2 linked regions of the Anolis sagrei genome follow. The protein of the gene in region 1 interacts with the protein of each later gene in a pairwise test. Links are inferred from orthologs where the notes say so. Each region holds a gene or a part of one and is shown in the gene's direction. Other genes may lie near its edges. The genes, in order: ANKS1A and DOK3.

Region 1 (8,265 bases):
TGACATCAGCAAAATGAGCTCAAGAGAGCCTGTGTTGAGGCACCTGCACTCTTTGGCAGAGTCCCAGGATTCTATAGCATGGAGCCATGAGAATTAAAGTGCTATGGAACTGCATTAATTTGACAGCATAGATACACCCTACATCTGACAAGATAATGGGCTATATTAAATTGTTAGTACTAATTAGAGTACTCCCAGGCCCCTTCTACATTGCCATATAAAGTCCAGATTCTCTACTTTCAACTGGATTATGTGATCGTGTAGATTCATATAATCCAGTTCAAAGCAGATAATGTGATTTATCTGCTTCGATAATCTGGATTATATGACAGTGTAGAAGGGGCCCCAGTACATCAGCTGCTGGATAATAAATCAACACATATGTTAGTCCCACTGGTTCAATGGGGCTATTCTAGTTGGAACTAATTTGATTTAGTGCAATGCTTTCAAGTATGAGCATGGTGTAAATAGTATAGGAAAAGAATACAGGAAATCACACATTGACATATTCCAGAGTTCAAGTAATAATGATAATAGTAATAAAAATTATAAATTTCTTATTACTTGTATCTCTTGATGGCTCGAGGCGGGATACAACATAGTCAAAAACATATTAACATAAAATATATAAAATAAACAATTTTGATCAAACACACACACACATATATAAAACTTGCACCAGACACAGATACAAAATTGAAATATTGCAGCAACAGAATGCAAATCAGAACTTATGATTGAAGGTTGATTGTGCCTTTGAGTTCAAGCTACCACTTCCAATACATTTGCAGTAAGTAGAGGGGAAATTAACTGCAGATGCCTTTATCCATCAAGTCAACTCACTGGTGAAAGAGTTTAGTATGTTCCCTACCAGGAGAACCAACACCATCTCAATGTGACATGCCATTTATTATTTCAGTGGGCAAGGTGGGATAAATACTTAGTGAAGAACCTGTTGGATATATTGAAGCTAGTAACATTTTTTAAAATGAGGGTTGGTATAACTGCTCGGCATGTACATTAGTTTCTGTCCAACTGTTGCTTCTAATCAAATAAATGTTGCAACACTTGTAATACTTCATAAATCCGCAGAACCTGTTTGACCAGAAATGGAAGAGCAAACTAAATTAGCATGCACATCATCCTAGCATATTCAGCTGTATTAATTCATGTTTTGTCTCATTTCCTGTGTTTTGAAAGGATGGATTCAATTTTTTTAATATCTCATGCATACTAAAGGAATACCAGACTCCTGCTATATGCTGTCATCATACACAGTACCTCCTTCCCCTTTTGAATTTATGAGGCATCTGGTTCACGTCTTCACATAGGTGTTCAGAGAGGTAATTGCATGTGATTGGTCTCCATCATAGAAATACCTACTACATCCTCTTGCCTTCAAGGGCACTGTCCATCATTTACACATTCCTGATACAATATCCTATTACCATAGATGCACAGAAGTGAAATTCGCATCACACACTTACAAGCCAGCTAAGAGGCCCATTGTCCTACAACTGAAGGAGAAGCTACACATTAGTAATGCCCTAATGACAGATGAAAGATAAGAAAAGACAAAAGTGGGTGGACAACTTTGTTAACTGCAACATTTGTTCATCATTCTAGACAATTGTGCCAAATTAGATTGTTGTCAGCAGCGTTCTAATGAAGATCTCAGGCAAAGTCTTAGTTTCAATCCTTTAATCAGAGAAATGAGACAGGGAATGCTGAAGTCATACACATCATACTACGTTAATCACCACTGTATGGGAAAGTTATCTGCTTAAAATAGGTTGATTTTTAGCCTTCAGTTCGTTACATTCAAAGATCAGCTATCTCATCTGCTGTAGATTGTTTTTGAATCAGTCCTCCACCCACTGTGAGCTCATTACTTCTGAAAAGATGGAATGAGGAAAAAGAGAAGTATAAGCCTTTAGTGTTAATCACTCTCTTGAGAAATTGATATCTTCTGTCTTCTTAATCCATATTTTCAAGCTTAAATCAAATATTGGAAAGTTGATATAAACAAAATAAATTCATTGTACAAAACTCTAAAACGTTATTGATTACTGCACAAGGAAGGCATCCTCTTATTAAGGCATGTTGTTACTTTTTTTAAAAAAGAAAAACATTCTGGTCAAATGCCTAAAAATGATTTTGTCATGAAAAATAACTAGGATTGTTATTATATAAAAATGAATGGCAATCCCTCTCATCAGATTTCTTTGAAGCCATCACTTAAGGCTTCTTTATCCCCCCCCCCCCCCCCCGTCCTCCCCGCAGTAACTTGTTATACTGTTGCCTCTCCACATTTGCAGTTAACCTATGGATGTGAGAGCTGGACCATAAGGAAGGCTGAGCAAAGGAAGATAGATGCTTTTGAACTGTGGTGCTAGAGGAAAATTGAGAGACTACTTTGGACCGCAAGAAGATCAAACCAGGAAATAATGCCCAACTGCTCCTGGAGGGAAGGATATTAGAGGCAAAGATTAAGTGCTTTGGCCAAGTCATGAGAAGAAAGGGAAGCTTAGATAAGACAATGATGCTTGGGAAAATAGAAGGAAAAAGGAAGAGGGGTTGACCAAGGGCAAGTAGGATGGATGGTATCCTTGAAGTTACTGCCTTGACCTTGAAGGAGCTGGGGGTGGCAGTGGCCGATAGGGAGCTCTGGCATAGGCTGGTTTATGAGGTCACAAAGAGTCGGAAGCCAATGAACGAATAAACAACAAAAACAACAAGATTTCATTATTAATGGTTTTGATTTTAAATGTCCTCTCTGAGAATGTCTAGCTCCTCCAATGTGACTCTATGGTTGACTTCATTCAATCATGCTGGAGGATCTAAATTTTCTAGAAAGAACATCTCTCTAGGAATCTCTTAAGTTTCCAATGTGAGTATGTGGTCAGTTTATAGCAGAAATTTACAACTGAGTCAATTTTTATTCACTAGTTCTTTGCTTTAACAGTGGTCCTGTGCCCTTAACCTTGGTGAATGTGAAGGGCTGACTATATATGTACTGCTTGTGACTTGTTGCTTTAAAGTTCTGGCTGTTACAGAATATTTACTGAGAAATCACAATTGCACATGATGTATTTATTTATTACTTAATGATTATTTATTATTACTATTATTTATTAGTACTGTCCCCAATATTTGGTCTGCAAAGCTGACATCTGTGTCCAACCACACCTCCCCATCCTGTCTAAGCGGAGCCAATACCTGCAACTTTCATCTGTAGGTGATTTCCAAGGAAGACTTTGATAGAAGAAGCAACAGAGTCTTGGAGCAGGTGGCTTTATCATTCAAACATTTTATGACACAAATTAGGTGTTTCCAAATTTAATGTCATGAATCACGTATAAAGAGACTATGCTCAAAATGCCTAATTGAAATAATTCAGTTCCTTGGGATTGATCTTCACCTAGAGGGTTCTCAGTCCCCTCCTTCTTAAAAGCACAGGATTAAAATGTACTTTTTGAGCTGAAGAAAATGCCATGCTTGTTTTTGTTTGAAGGAAGCCCTCTATGACACTGGAAGGAACACTTCATGTATGTATGTGTATATAAATATACATGTGTGTGTGTGTGTAGGCTCCAAAGTAACAAAAATAGATATACATGTAAATGTATGTATATATAAATATACATATACACACATATGTGTGTAAATGTGTGTGTGTGTATATGTGTGTGAATATATATATAGGTTCCAAAGTGACAAGAAATGTATACACACATATACATGCAAATGCATTTATATAAATATGAATATACATATACATGAATATACACACATATGCATGTGTGGGTTCCAAAGTGACAAGAAACATATACACAATGCATGCAAATGTATGTATATATAAACATACATATACATAAACACACACACATATGCATGCAAATATGTGTATATACATGCACATACATGCAAATGTATGTATGTGTGTGTATATATATACATATGCATACATTCACACAGATACATACATACACATATGCATGCAAATGTGTATATGTATGTATGTGTATATATATATATATGCGTGTGTGTATAGGTTCCAAAGTGACAAAAATATTTACACATTTACATGTAGATGTATGATATATACATATGCATATACACACATGTTGAAATGTGTGTGCGTGTATAGGTTCCAAAGTAACAAGAAATATGTACACTATGTATGCAAATGTATGTATATATAAATATACATAAACACACACATATACATGCAAATGTATGGCATGTGTGCATATATATATACATACACATACATATACATAGATATGCATGCAAATTTGTGTTTTTATATACATATATGACTGCATTTCTCACTCATTGTAACCTTGTACATATACACACATATATGTATGTGTGTGTGTGTATACATATATATACACACACACACAGATACACATACACAGACATATGTATGCAAGTATGTTCATACACACACACATATATATGCATGTCTGTATATATATACATAAACACAAACAGATACATAAATATACACACACGTATGCACGCATACGTGTATGCACATATATATACACACACGCAAAGGATGCCTGAAAGAATGAGGTAAGACAAGTTGAGGTAGGCAGTGGGTGACAGCCTTTCTCACCCACTGTAACCTTTCTTGTCACTTTGAAACATATACATACACACACACACGTATACATATATATTCACACACAAGCAGATACATATACACAGACATATGCATGCAAATGTGTTCATATATATATCTGTTTGTGTATATATATATACACACACAGATACATATATATACACACACGTATGCATGCAATTGTGTATATATATATACGCAAACACATACATTCAAATATAAGTGTGTGTGTATGTGTGTGTATGTATATATACACACACACACACATATATATATAGACACACACACACGCATATACATGTCCCAAAGTGAGAAGAAAGGTGGTGGTGGGGTGGGTGGGAATGCAGTCACCCACTGCCCGCCTCACCTTGCCTTACCTCATCCTTTCAGGCGGCAGCAGCAGCAGCAGATGGAAGGCAGCCAACCAGAGCGCCTCCGCCTCCTCCGCCCCGCCCACTTGCCTTACGGCTCGAGAGGGGGCGTGGCCTGTCTAAGCCCCGCCCCGGAAGGACGCGCCGGCCGGGCTGAGGCGGCGGCGGCGGCAGTAGTAGCAGCGGCCGCCGAAGGCGAATCCCAAAGGAGGCGGCGGCTTAGCTGCTGCTGCTGCTGTTGTTAAGGGGGGCTCCTGACTGGCTGGCTGGCTTCCCCGGAGCCATGGGGAAGGAGCAGGAGCTGCTGGAGGCCTCCCGCACGGGGAACCTGCCCGCCGTGGAGAAGCTGCTCTCGGGGAAGCGCCTCAGCTCGGGCTTCGGCTCTGGCGGCGGAGGCTCAGGCGGCGGAGGAGGAGGGGGCTCCTCGGGAGGTGGCGGCGGAGGAGGGAGCGGCGGAGGCGGGCACCCGCTTTCGAATCTTCTCAGGTAGGTGTGGCGCTTGGCTTTCTGCTGAGGCGGAGGGAGGGAGGGAGGGAGGCCGTGCCAGGCGCCCGGGGGTGTGTCCCTCGCCAGCACCTTGAGGCGGTTGCACCAATGGGCAGGTGGGTAGTGGTGGGCCCTGGCCCTGGCCCAGGGCGGTGGGAGTTTGGCGAGAGAAAGACCTTGGGCAGGGAACTACAGCTCCCAGGATCCCATAGCATGCATTCATTCTACAGTGTAGACCAGGCATGGGCCAACTTGGGCCCTCCTTCCAGGTGTTTTGGACTCCAACTCCCATCATTCCTAACAGCCTCAGGCCCCTTCCTTTCCCCCTCAGCCTCTTAGGAATGTTAGAATGTTGAGTTTGGCCAATCAGAAACCATATGCAAATTAGTAGGTCATGACAGCTCATGCATGGGCCAACCTGGGTCCTCCTTCCAGGTGTTTTGGACTCCAACTCCCACCATTCCTAACAGCCTCAGGCCCTTTCCTTTCCCCCCTCAGCCGCATAAGGGGGAAAGGAAAGGGCCTGAAGCTGTTAGGAATGGTGGGAGTTGGAGTCCAAAACACTTGGAAGGCAAGCCCAAGTTGGCCCACACCTAGTTTAGATGCACTCCCTGTGCAACCAATTTTGTATATGGCCACTGTCACTCCAAAAGGCCACTGTTACTCCAAATATTACACTGTTACTCCAAAATTGTTACTCCAATTTTACCACTGTAGAATTAAAGCAGTTTGACAGCACTTGAACTGCCACTTCTCAATGTTATGGACTCCTCTAATGTGTTCTTTGTTGACCCACAACCCTCTTTGGCTGAGAAGACAGAATCTATATAAATAAAAATGTAATGTTCATTTGTGGGATCAACATAACTCAAAAGCCACTGGACGAATTGAGACAAAATTTGGACACAATGCACCTAACAGTCCAACGAATGTCCATCACCCGTAAACACACACACACACACATCCCAGGAGAACAGAGTTAAAAAACCCCAAAAATACACTATATATACATATACACTCATACTCATATATATATACATATGCACACATTCATACACACACACACACACACACATATATATGCACAAACACACAGAAATATACACATGTACAGACACATACATATACATACACACATATACATATACACATGCATATATATAGATATATATATATATACATGCACAGATAAATACATATCCACATACATATATACACACACAAATATGCATATAGACAAGAACACATATACACACAATATGCATGTACACATATAAATACACAAATATATACGCACGCTTCTATACACCCATATGTATACTCACAAACACACATATATGCGCACACACGTAAACACATATACACACACAAACACATGCACACAGGTTGGGCCAAAGCATCGCGTGGCAGGGGACAGCTAGTACCTTGTAAAACTGCAATTCCCTTTGAGTCAAATTGGTGTCAGACTGCATTATTAGGCACCCCCTTTCTTTTAGGAGGTATTATTTCAGGCAGGCTGGTTTGGAGTGATGTATTCTTTAAAAGGGAACATTCTTATTTCCCTCATGGTACTTTTTTATTCCGAATGTTTACAGTCCATCCATGGTGAAAGTTATTTACCGCAATGGTTAGAGGATTGCATCTTGATTGTGGAGTGGAGTGGAGGCTTCTTCTTTGGAGGCTTTTAAATAGAGCCTGGATGGCCATCTATTAGGGCTGCTCTGAATGCAATTTTACTGCTTCTTGGCAGAATGGGGTTCGACTAGATGGCCTATAAGGTCTCTTCCAACTCTATGGTTGAGTCTGAATTGATGTTTTTATATGTGCTTGTGTTTTATTTTATTGTATTTTATATTGTGTTCACTTTTATGTTTGTTTTTAGGTACTTTGTGCATCTGTAAGCTGCCCCGAGTCCCTTCGGGGAGATGGTGGCAGGATATAGGAATAACATTATTATTATTATTATTATTATTATTATTATTATTATTATTTAATTTGTCACTGTTTGTCTAAATTGTGTGAGTATCTCTTTCTCTTAAGTCAAACCTTAGAAATATTTTCTTGGATTTTACTGTTTGTATGTCACATTACTGTATATACTCATGTGTAAATCTAGAAATGTTAGTTAAAAACACCTGGGCTGACTTATCAACAGGTCGGTGTAGGTACTGTCTCTAAACTCTAATAGAAAACACAATAATCTTCTCTGAGTGCAATAACAAAAGTGAAGAGCTTAGTTAAAATACCAACCCAAAAAAAACTGAACTGACTTTTCTATGGGTCAGTGTGAGTACTGTACCTTGACTCTTTTTTAAAAACTGAACTGTCCTCTTCTCTTAGTAGAACTTTGGCTGCTGAACTTGCTGACTAAAAGGTCGGTGGTTTGAATTTGGGGAGCGAGGTGAGCTCCTGCTGTTAGCCCCAGCTGCTGCCAATCTAGCAGTTTGAAAACATACAAATGTGCATAGATCAATAGGTATCACTTCAGTGGGAAGGTAACAGCACTCCATGCAGTCATGCTGGCCACATGGAGCCGTCTATGGACAACACCAGCTCTTCGGCTTAGAAATGGAGATGAGCACCACTCCCCAGAGTTGGACACAGCTAGACTTAATGTCAATGGGAAACCTTTACCTTTTATATGAGTCTACACTGCCATATCATCCAGTTCAAATATCATAATCTGGGATCAGAAACTGGATTTTATGGCAGTGTAGAAGGGGCCTTAGAGAACGTAAAAGAAATAAGAACACACTCTACTCTCCCTGGTGCAGC
Region 2 (7,466 bases), on another chromosome or scaffold:
ACACCACCAGAGAGAACAAAGTTGGTAGCATTAGCTTCCATAGGCCTATGCTACCAATTTCATTTTCTCAGTGATAATTATGTATTAGATCTGCTTTTTTTTGCCGAAGGAGAGTCATAGTGGCTAACAATAAAAACCATAATAATGTGTGAATTAAAACATAACACATACAAACATTAAAATAGAGTTAAATATTACGGGTATTAAAAATAAATAGATAAATCCTTAAAATCAATGAAAACCTAACCATATCAAAAACAACACCCCCCCCCCATCTTGATCTGCAAAACCTTCTTTAAAAGCCTTGCTGAATTAAAAGGTTTTAGCTGCCGGAAGGAGGAGGGGCATTCTGGCTTTCCTGGGAAGAAAAGAGTTCCAGAGTCAAGAGGCAGCCACCCAAAAGGCTCAATCTCTCATTCTCACCAATTGAGCTTGAGATGGAGGTGAGACTGAGCGAAGGGCCTCTCCTGAGCATCTCAAGGCCCAGACAGGTACATACAGCATGGTGTGATCAGCCAAGTAACATGCACCTGAGCATATAGTTAATCTTTCAATCTGCATTAACTGCTACAGGATCCCTTTTCATGCAGAAAGTAGAATATTTTATGGAACCAGGGTATGGTTTGCCTGGAGACTATTGCCTTCCTTGTGGAGATATTGCCTACTCAAATGCAGGCAATTTTTGCTGCTTTCTATAACTAGGACTAGGGCAGTGGTTCACAATCTTTTTTTGACCAGGGAACACTTGACTAGGGACCACTCTCCAACATTAATACCAAAAGGGTTACGAATCGGTTTTTGGTCAGCTTTAGATTCGGTTTGGTTATTTGGGGTGCTGATTCAGAAAATTGTATTGGATAGACCACATCGGCTCTAGTTTCCGATACAGAACATATGCCATCCAGTAGTCGCGATTTGCTCGCCTACAGAAAACCATATTTAATAAGTGTCAACACTATAAGAAGTTTTTGCAAGACCAGTCACTCTTGTTGCCATGGACCATATTTTAGTTCTTGTGGACCACTGGTGGTCCATGGACCACAGGTTGAGAGCCACTGGTCTAGGCTCTAGAATGGATGTCCACTTTGCTCTCTCTAATATTCTGATTTGTTCCGACTTTCCTGTTTTTATCCAGATGAGTCAGTGCTTATGGACTTGAAGGCACTGCTGCTGGAGGCCAAGCAAAAAGTGCCCCCCGTGTTGCAAGTGCTGCACTGTGGAGATGAATCCATGTTGGATATTAATGGTAAGTAGCTGGTTCTTGGAGGGGAGGGGAGTGATTAAGAGAGTGGGATGGTCTGCGGCAGTAGATGTGCAGTTCCATTGGGAATTGGGAAGGCATCTTAATCCCTAGAAAGTATCCCAGTGACAGTTGACTTGTAAGAAAATCAACAGCCTAATGCTGGCAAACTGGAACAATTGCCATGGTTTGCTGATGTTATACTTTAAGCCAGCGGTGCACAATCAGGGTTTTTGTTTTGCCCTGAGGATTGCCGGTGATTTTGGTAGAGAGAAGCAGGGAGAATGCCCATGCATTCTAGAATACCCATGTGCTGAGAGGAGAAGAATGTAATCCACAAAAAGGGGTGGGGAGGGCACCCGCACATACATATATCTGGAATGAGAGAGGATAAACCCCCTTTATCTGCGTAGTAGCTTCAAGAAGAAACAACTGAAGAAGGACTGATCAAACAGTAATACAAGAGGGAGGCCTAATCTTTTCCATCACCTTTACCAATGTCGACGTCAGGCTCTTTACCAATGTGTTCCAAAGAGCCTGACATCGCCATGACAAGTGCTTAGTGTCTGAATGTTGCATAAACATGGACCTGAATTCTGATTTGACAATATGTATTTATTGAAATAGCACAAGTCAACAAAATCCAACTTTTTGTAATAATCAGAAATGAGAATAGCACAGTTTAAATAATCTTAATGCTGATTTTAAATATGTATTGTTTTCTATCATGGCGACTTTTAAAAATATGACAAATGGCACATTACAGCAGACTACTATAAAGTCTGCCTATTTCACATCATATTTGTGTAACACAAGCCAACAATTATTTTCATCAGATATGATTTACATCATTCTTATAGAGTTTTTCACGTGGCTTATTTATAGAGTTTTTCACTGTGTTTATTTTTTCTCTATAATAGTAATAATAAGGCCACCTTACTGGGATCTGCACGCATTATTGGCCGATACATCACACAGTCCTAGACATTTGGGAAGTGTGACATGTGATCCAATACAACAGCCAGCAGAATGATCTTGTTTGCTGTAGATTTATCTTGTTGTGTTTCAAATAATAATTATTTATTTATTTATTTATTTATATTTTGCTCTATCTCCCTGGAGGGACTCAGGGTAGATCTCAGACATAAAAGGCAAACATTCAATGCCTGAATACAACAACAATACATCCATATTAACAAAATTTAACAACCCAACATATAAACATGAATTATGACTTAACAACTAAAATTAAATACAAAACGCAGCCTGTTATTACAGATATAAGACAAAACATCAAACAGAAGCATCAATTTCCCAGTTCCTTGGGGCAAATAGATTGATAGTTGCTCAATCTATAGTTGAGCTGGTAGGGTGAGCAGGGCACAGATACAGATGATAGCTATTAATCAGAGGTATAATGGTAGTTTTATCAACTCCTCCTCCTCGCAAGCCAGTGAGCTAAGGTATGTCTTCAACTGTTTCTTGAAAGCGGTGGGGGAGGGGGCCATCTTTAACTCCTTAGGAAGGGTGTTCCAGAGGTGTGGGGCAGCCACAGAGAAGGCCGGCCCTTTCTCTCGTTCCCACCAGCTGTGCTTGGGACGGGTGGGACTGAGAGGAGGACCTCCTCTGATGACCGCAGTGTCTGAGTTGGTCTGTAGAGGGAGATGTGGTTTGTCAAATAGTCTGGACCCAAGCTGTTATCATGTGTAGTTTTTGTGATAAGGCTAATCGAATAAGTAATGCATTTACACACTGATATTAATTAGATTTTATTGATATCAGTGTAGAAATGCATTAATTATTCGATTAGCCACATCGTAAAAACTACATGTGGTAGAGGAAAAAAAAAACACTGATCTGAATTCAGCATGAAAAACTCCATAAGAATGATCTAAAATGATATCTGATGAAAAATACTTGTTGGTTTGCGTGATTTTTATTCCACTCTTCAGCCACAAAGCCACTCAGAACAGCTTACTAAATGTTAATTTTTCTTTGGGCTTACAATCTACAATGTATTTCTTAATCTTTCAGGCGAGAGGGGCTGTGCCTTCTGTGGGGGCCTGGGTCATCGTATCACTGACTGCCCCAAGCTGGAAGCCATGCAGACGAAGCAAGTCAGCAACATTGGACGCAAGGATTATCTAGCCCATAGCTCCATGGACTTCTAGATACACTCTGGTTTTTGGCAGGCCACAACCAAGCAAATGAACAGATCTCAGTGCCCTGGGGGCTAATATTTCTCAACTGCCATTTGTAGGTTTGGTTTACTGTACGGCAGAATATTGTCAACTAGAGTAGGAAAGAAGAGATACCAGTGCAGTTGCTCCCTTTTAGGGGCTTTTTGCTTTCTCGTTTTTGTGGTAATTACTGACCTTGCCCTAGGCCAGAAGCAAGCCACAAAGATTGCCCAGTCTCCCAAGCTCCTGTGTATTGCGGATGTACATAGTGGGATGCCTTGTGCTGGTTTCTGACAGTTGCTTGGCCATGGTCCCACAGATTGGGTGTATATAGGTGTGAATGGCTCTTTTCAGACCCAAGTTTCCTTTTAAGATCTTGAGCTGTTCCCTTCTAAATGTGGCGGTCTAGTGCTGCAATCAGCCATTGCATCAGTAACTGTTGTCATGCATCATTGAGCAAGCTCCATATGACCCAGCAGGTGGCCGTGATAGGAAGGAAGAAAGGAACTGAACTGAATATCACCACAAGGAAAAGATCCTTCTTTGGACTTCAGCTCCCAGAACTCCTCTGCCTCTGACTGTGCTGACTGGAGGCAGTCTAAAATAATAGCGTTTCCAAGCTTCCAGCCATTGGGAGTTCTGCTATTGCTTTCATTAACTCTAGTCACAAACTTTTGAGGTTTTACATATCCTTAGTTTGATGTGTTCCTCTTCCTCAACTGCTTCTATCATTGTTGCGTGACTGTTGTAGGCCTGCTCAGAGGTGGCCTCTGCAGCTGTGGGGAGACACTCTGGCGACCCACCAACGTTTGCTGAATCAAAAGTCCCCTGGGACTTGCCTGTGTGTCTCCCGGGACTGTTCTCTTTAGTACAGCTCCCAGTATGCATGCAGGCCCAAAAGAGGAAGTTGGCAGGCAGAGGAAGTCACCAGTGCTATCGTACATACTGACTCATTCCTGTGGCGGCCACAAGAGCTCACAGGCTGAGTGATCTCTTTCTCCTTCCTTACTGTTTGGAGCCTATCCCATGGAGTGCCCAGTGAAAGATGGGATCCTCTATATTCATCATCCAAAATTTGGGAAGGTAAAAATGGGTATTTGCTTAGTGGAAAGAAGGGATTATCCCAGGAAGCCTTCATTGGACAAATTGTTAAGTCCCACTAGATTCAGGGTAACAATGTCCTAGCACTTTCCAGGTCATCTCTAGGGGCTGGGGGGGGGGGGGGGGGCTTTTGTGATGCGGGATGGAACCTGCAACTGCTGGGCTTTTTGAAACCTAATATCTGTTTCCAGTCTTTCTTTTGTGTCACATTACTGAATTGTAGCCAAGTGTTACATTGCCTTTGAATGTAAATTATTCCAGTAATAAAATTAAAGTGACAAGTTGTGTGAATTAACTGGTATGGTGGAAATTAATTTCGCCATAAAGTTTGAACTGGTTCCCTTGTTTATACCTGAAATGGTGTGATCTCTAGGAAAACGGAATTGGCTAAAACCTCAGTGTTAACAACACTGAGCTAGATGGATTTAGCTTTCTGTATTCTTAGGGCAGCTTTTGGGATTCTTAGTTTCCAGGGGTAAACTAAGGTGAAACTTTTATCTTGTAATATATGAAGCTGTTCTTTAGCTTTTAGCTTTCTGTGCTAAGCTTAAATTTGGAGCCTCAATTTGGACAGTCACACAAGTAATAACATGTAAAAAGCTGCCTTGAGTCCCCTCAGGGAAGACGGCAATGTATAAATAAAGTAAATAAATAAAAATTATTCATTGATCTTTGGTTCCTACAATGTACATTGTTGTTACATGGTCATCTATTCATCCGTAAGGTTATGCATCCTCCCTGCTCAAAGTCTTATTAAACCAATGCTAAATCAGTGAAGAAAGTTGAATCATACAATCATAGAGTTGGAAGAGACCTCGTGGGCCATCCCATCCAACCCCCTGCCAAGAAGCAGGAAAATCACATTCAAATGTGATACTTCATTTCTCTCTCATCCTACAACCAAAGTTTTATGATACCAGGGACAGACAGATATGTGTGTAGGAAGCCTTAGTATGGTAAAGGTTTTTTCCCTGACATTAAGTTCAGTTATGTATTACTCGGGGGGGTTGGTGCTCATCTCCATTTCTAACAGTGGGAGCTCACCTCGCTCCCCGGATTCAAACCTGCGACCTTTCAGTCAACCTTAGTATATGTGTGTGCATATATGGCAGGAGCAGTTATTTTGTGTGTACAGTTTTTGGTTGCTTTCTTACAATGGCTCATTTTGTATCTCCTTTCTGACTAACCCAGCCTCCCACTCTTATATTCATATTTCAGTAATGAAGCTACAAGATAGCTATTAAAAGATTTCTTTCCTTGGAAAATTAATGGGTTTTTTTCCATGGGATCCTCTACAAATCAACACAATTGTTTTCCATCTGTTCCAGGTTATTTGCTTTGTTCTGCTTGTTTGTCATTCAGGATTTTGGAAAGCGTTCCCAGACATTAACAAAGTTAGGGAAATGGGATTTCTATTTCTCATAGTGGATTCAAAAAAAGCTTTCACTTTATTTCCTTATGCATTCCAGCCAGGTGGCACTTTCCTATGCAGCATGTGTTTACTCCATATCTTGAAAGTGACAGGCTAGAAATAACAGTGTTATGTAACAGAAGCAATTTTTTTAAAAAGCCCAAAATTCTTGTTTCTTCCAAATGTTACATTTTAAGACAATTTGTAGGTAGTCAGTAAGTTTTCAAGTTTTATGGCATGTTATCAGTCCCAAGGACTTACCTCCACCCCTTCGAAATGGTCAGAAAACAATCAGAAACAAATGGGCACCACAATAACCAAGTTTACAATATCTATAGGCTGCTTTTTAAATTACTATGGTGACCTAAACACACCAGATCTCAATTTATCTTGAGAGCTTAGCAAAGTTAGTACTTGAATGGGAGACCAGTAACAAATAGAATGCTTGAGTTGGAAGAGACCTCGTAGGCCATCCCGTCCAACCCCCTGCCAAGAAGCAGGAATGTTAGGTGCTGTGTGGACTATATTTCAGAGGAAGGAAGAGGCCAAACCACCTCTGAGCATTCTTTGCTTATGAAATTCATGGAATTGCCATAAGTTGATAAGCAATTTACACAACTTGTGGGGTCAGGGATTCGCTTGAATCGTCTCTCTCTCCCACTGTTCAATGGTTGTGCTGTGGTCACCAGCAAATGGAGGCCAAGCGTCAGCCCTCCCAAGGGTGCTGCTGGTGGGGGACCAGAGGCCTAGCTGCTGCCTGCACATGTGAGGAGGAGATGGTGTGATCACTCAGACGAAATGGTTCAGTGGCTTTCTCATTTTCAATCAGCTGCTTTACCCACTTGCAAATTTCACTGACTCCATTATGACCCCCAGAGGCACAGATATTTTAGAATTTGAGGAGTAGTGTTCAAATAGCTGCACTTAGATTATCTCAGCCTGGCAGCAACCCTGAAGAAGAAGCAGGGCTTATTGTCCCCATAATGCCAAAGGTAACCTAGTGAGAGGACACAAACAGAAGATTTTCTGTATTGTCGAAGGCTTTCATGGCTGGAATCACTGGGTTGTTGTAGGTTTTTTGGGCTATATGGCCAAGTTCTAGAAGCATTCTTTCCTGATGTTTCGCATGCATCTATGGCAAGCATCCTCAGAGGTTGTGACCTCACAACCTTTGAGGATGCTTGCCATAGATGTAGGCGAAATGTCAGGAGAGAATGCTTCTAGAACATGGCTATATAGCCCGAAAAGCCTAGAACAGTGGTTCTCAACCTTTGTAATGCCGCGATCCCTTAATCCAGTTCCTCATGTTCTGGTGACCCCCAACCATAACATTATTTTTGTTGCTACTTCATAATTGTAATTTTGCTAGTATTATAAATCTCATTTGCAGGACCAAATTTGGCACAAATACCCAAAACGCCCAAATCTGAATACTGGTGGAGTTTGGGGAAAATAAACCTTGACATTTGGGAGTTGTAGTTGCTGGGATTTATAGATCACCTACAATCATACAGCATTCTGAACTCCACCAATG

Evidence for each region.
Region 2: the proteins of ANKS1A (region 1) and DOK3 interact in a two-hybrid assay, tested with the Homo sapiens proteins (2 studies listed by BioGRID and IntAct). The link is inferred for Anolis sagrei from reciprocal best matches to the Homo sapiens genes ANKS1A and DOK3.

Annotation. Positions count from the first base shown.
Region 1 is NC_090024.1:189,435,160-189,443,424, forward strand, and holds the start of ANKS1A (ankyrin repeat and SAM domain-containing protein 1A), read left to right. Parts: upstream 1-5,141; 5' UTR 5,142-5,287; coding exon 5,288-5,490; intron 5,491-8,265. UniProt on the Homo sapiens protein: Regulator of different signaling pathways. Regulates EPHA8 receptor tyrosine kinase signaling to control cell migration and neurite retraction.
Region 2 is NC_090022.1:76,939,177-76,946,642, reverse strand, and holds the start of DOK3 (docking protein 3), read left to right. Parts: upstream 1-4,419; 5' UTR 4,420-4,446; coding exon 4,447-4,503; exon of another isoform or gene 4,504-5,190; intron 5,191-7,466. Other genes in the region: probable ATP-dependent RNA helicase DDX41, read left to right, coding at 1,136-1,246, 3,275-3,411. UniProt on the Homo sapiens protein: DOK proteins are enzymatically inert adaptor or scaffolding proteins. They provide a docking platform for the assembly of multimolecular signaling complexes. DOK3 is a negative regulator of JNK signaling in B-cells through interaction with INPP5D/SHIP1.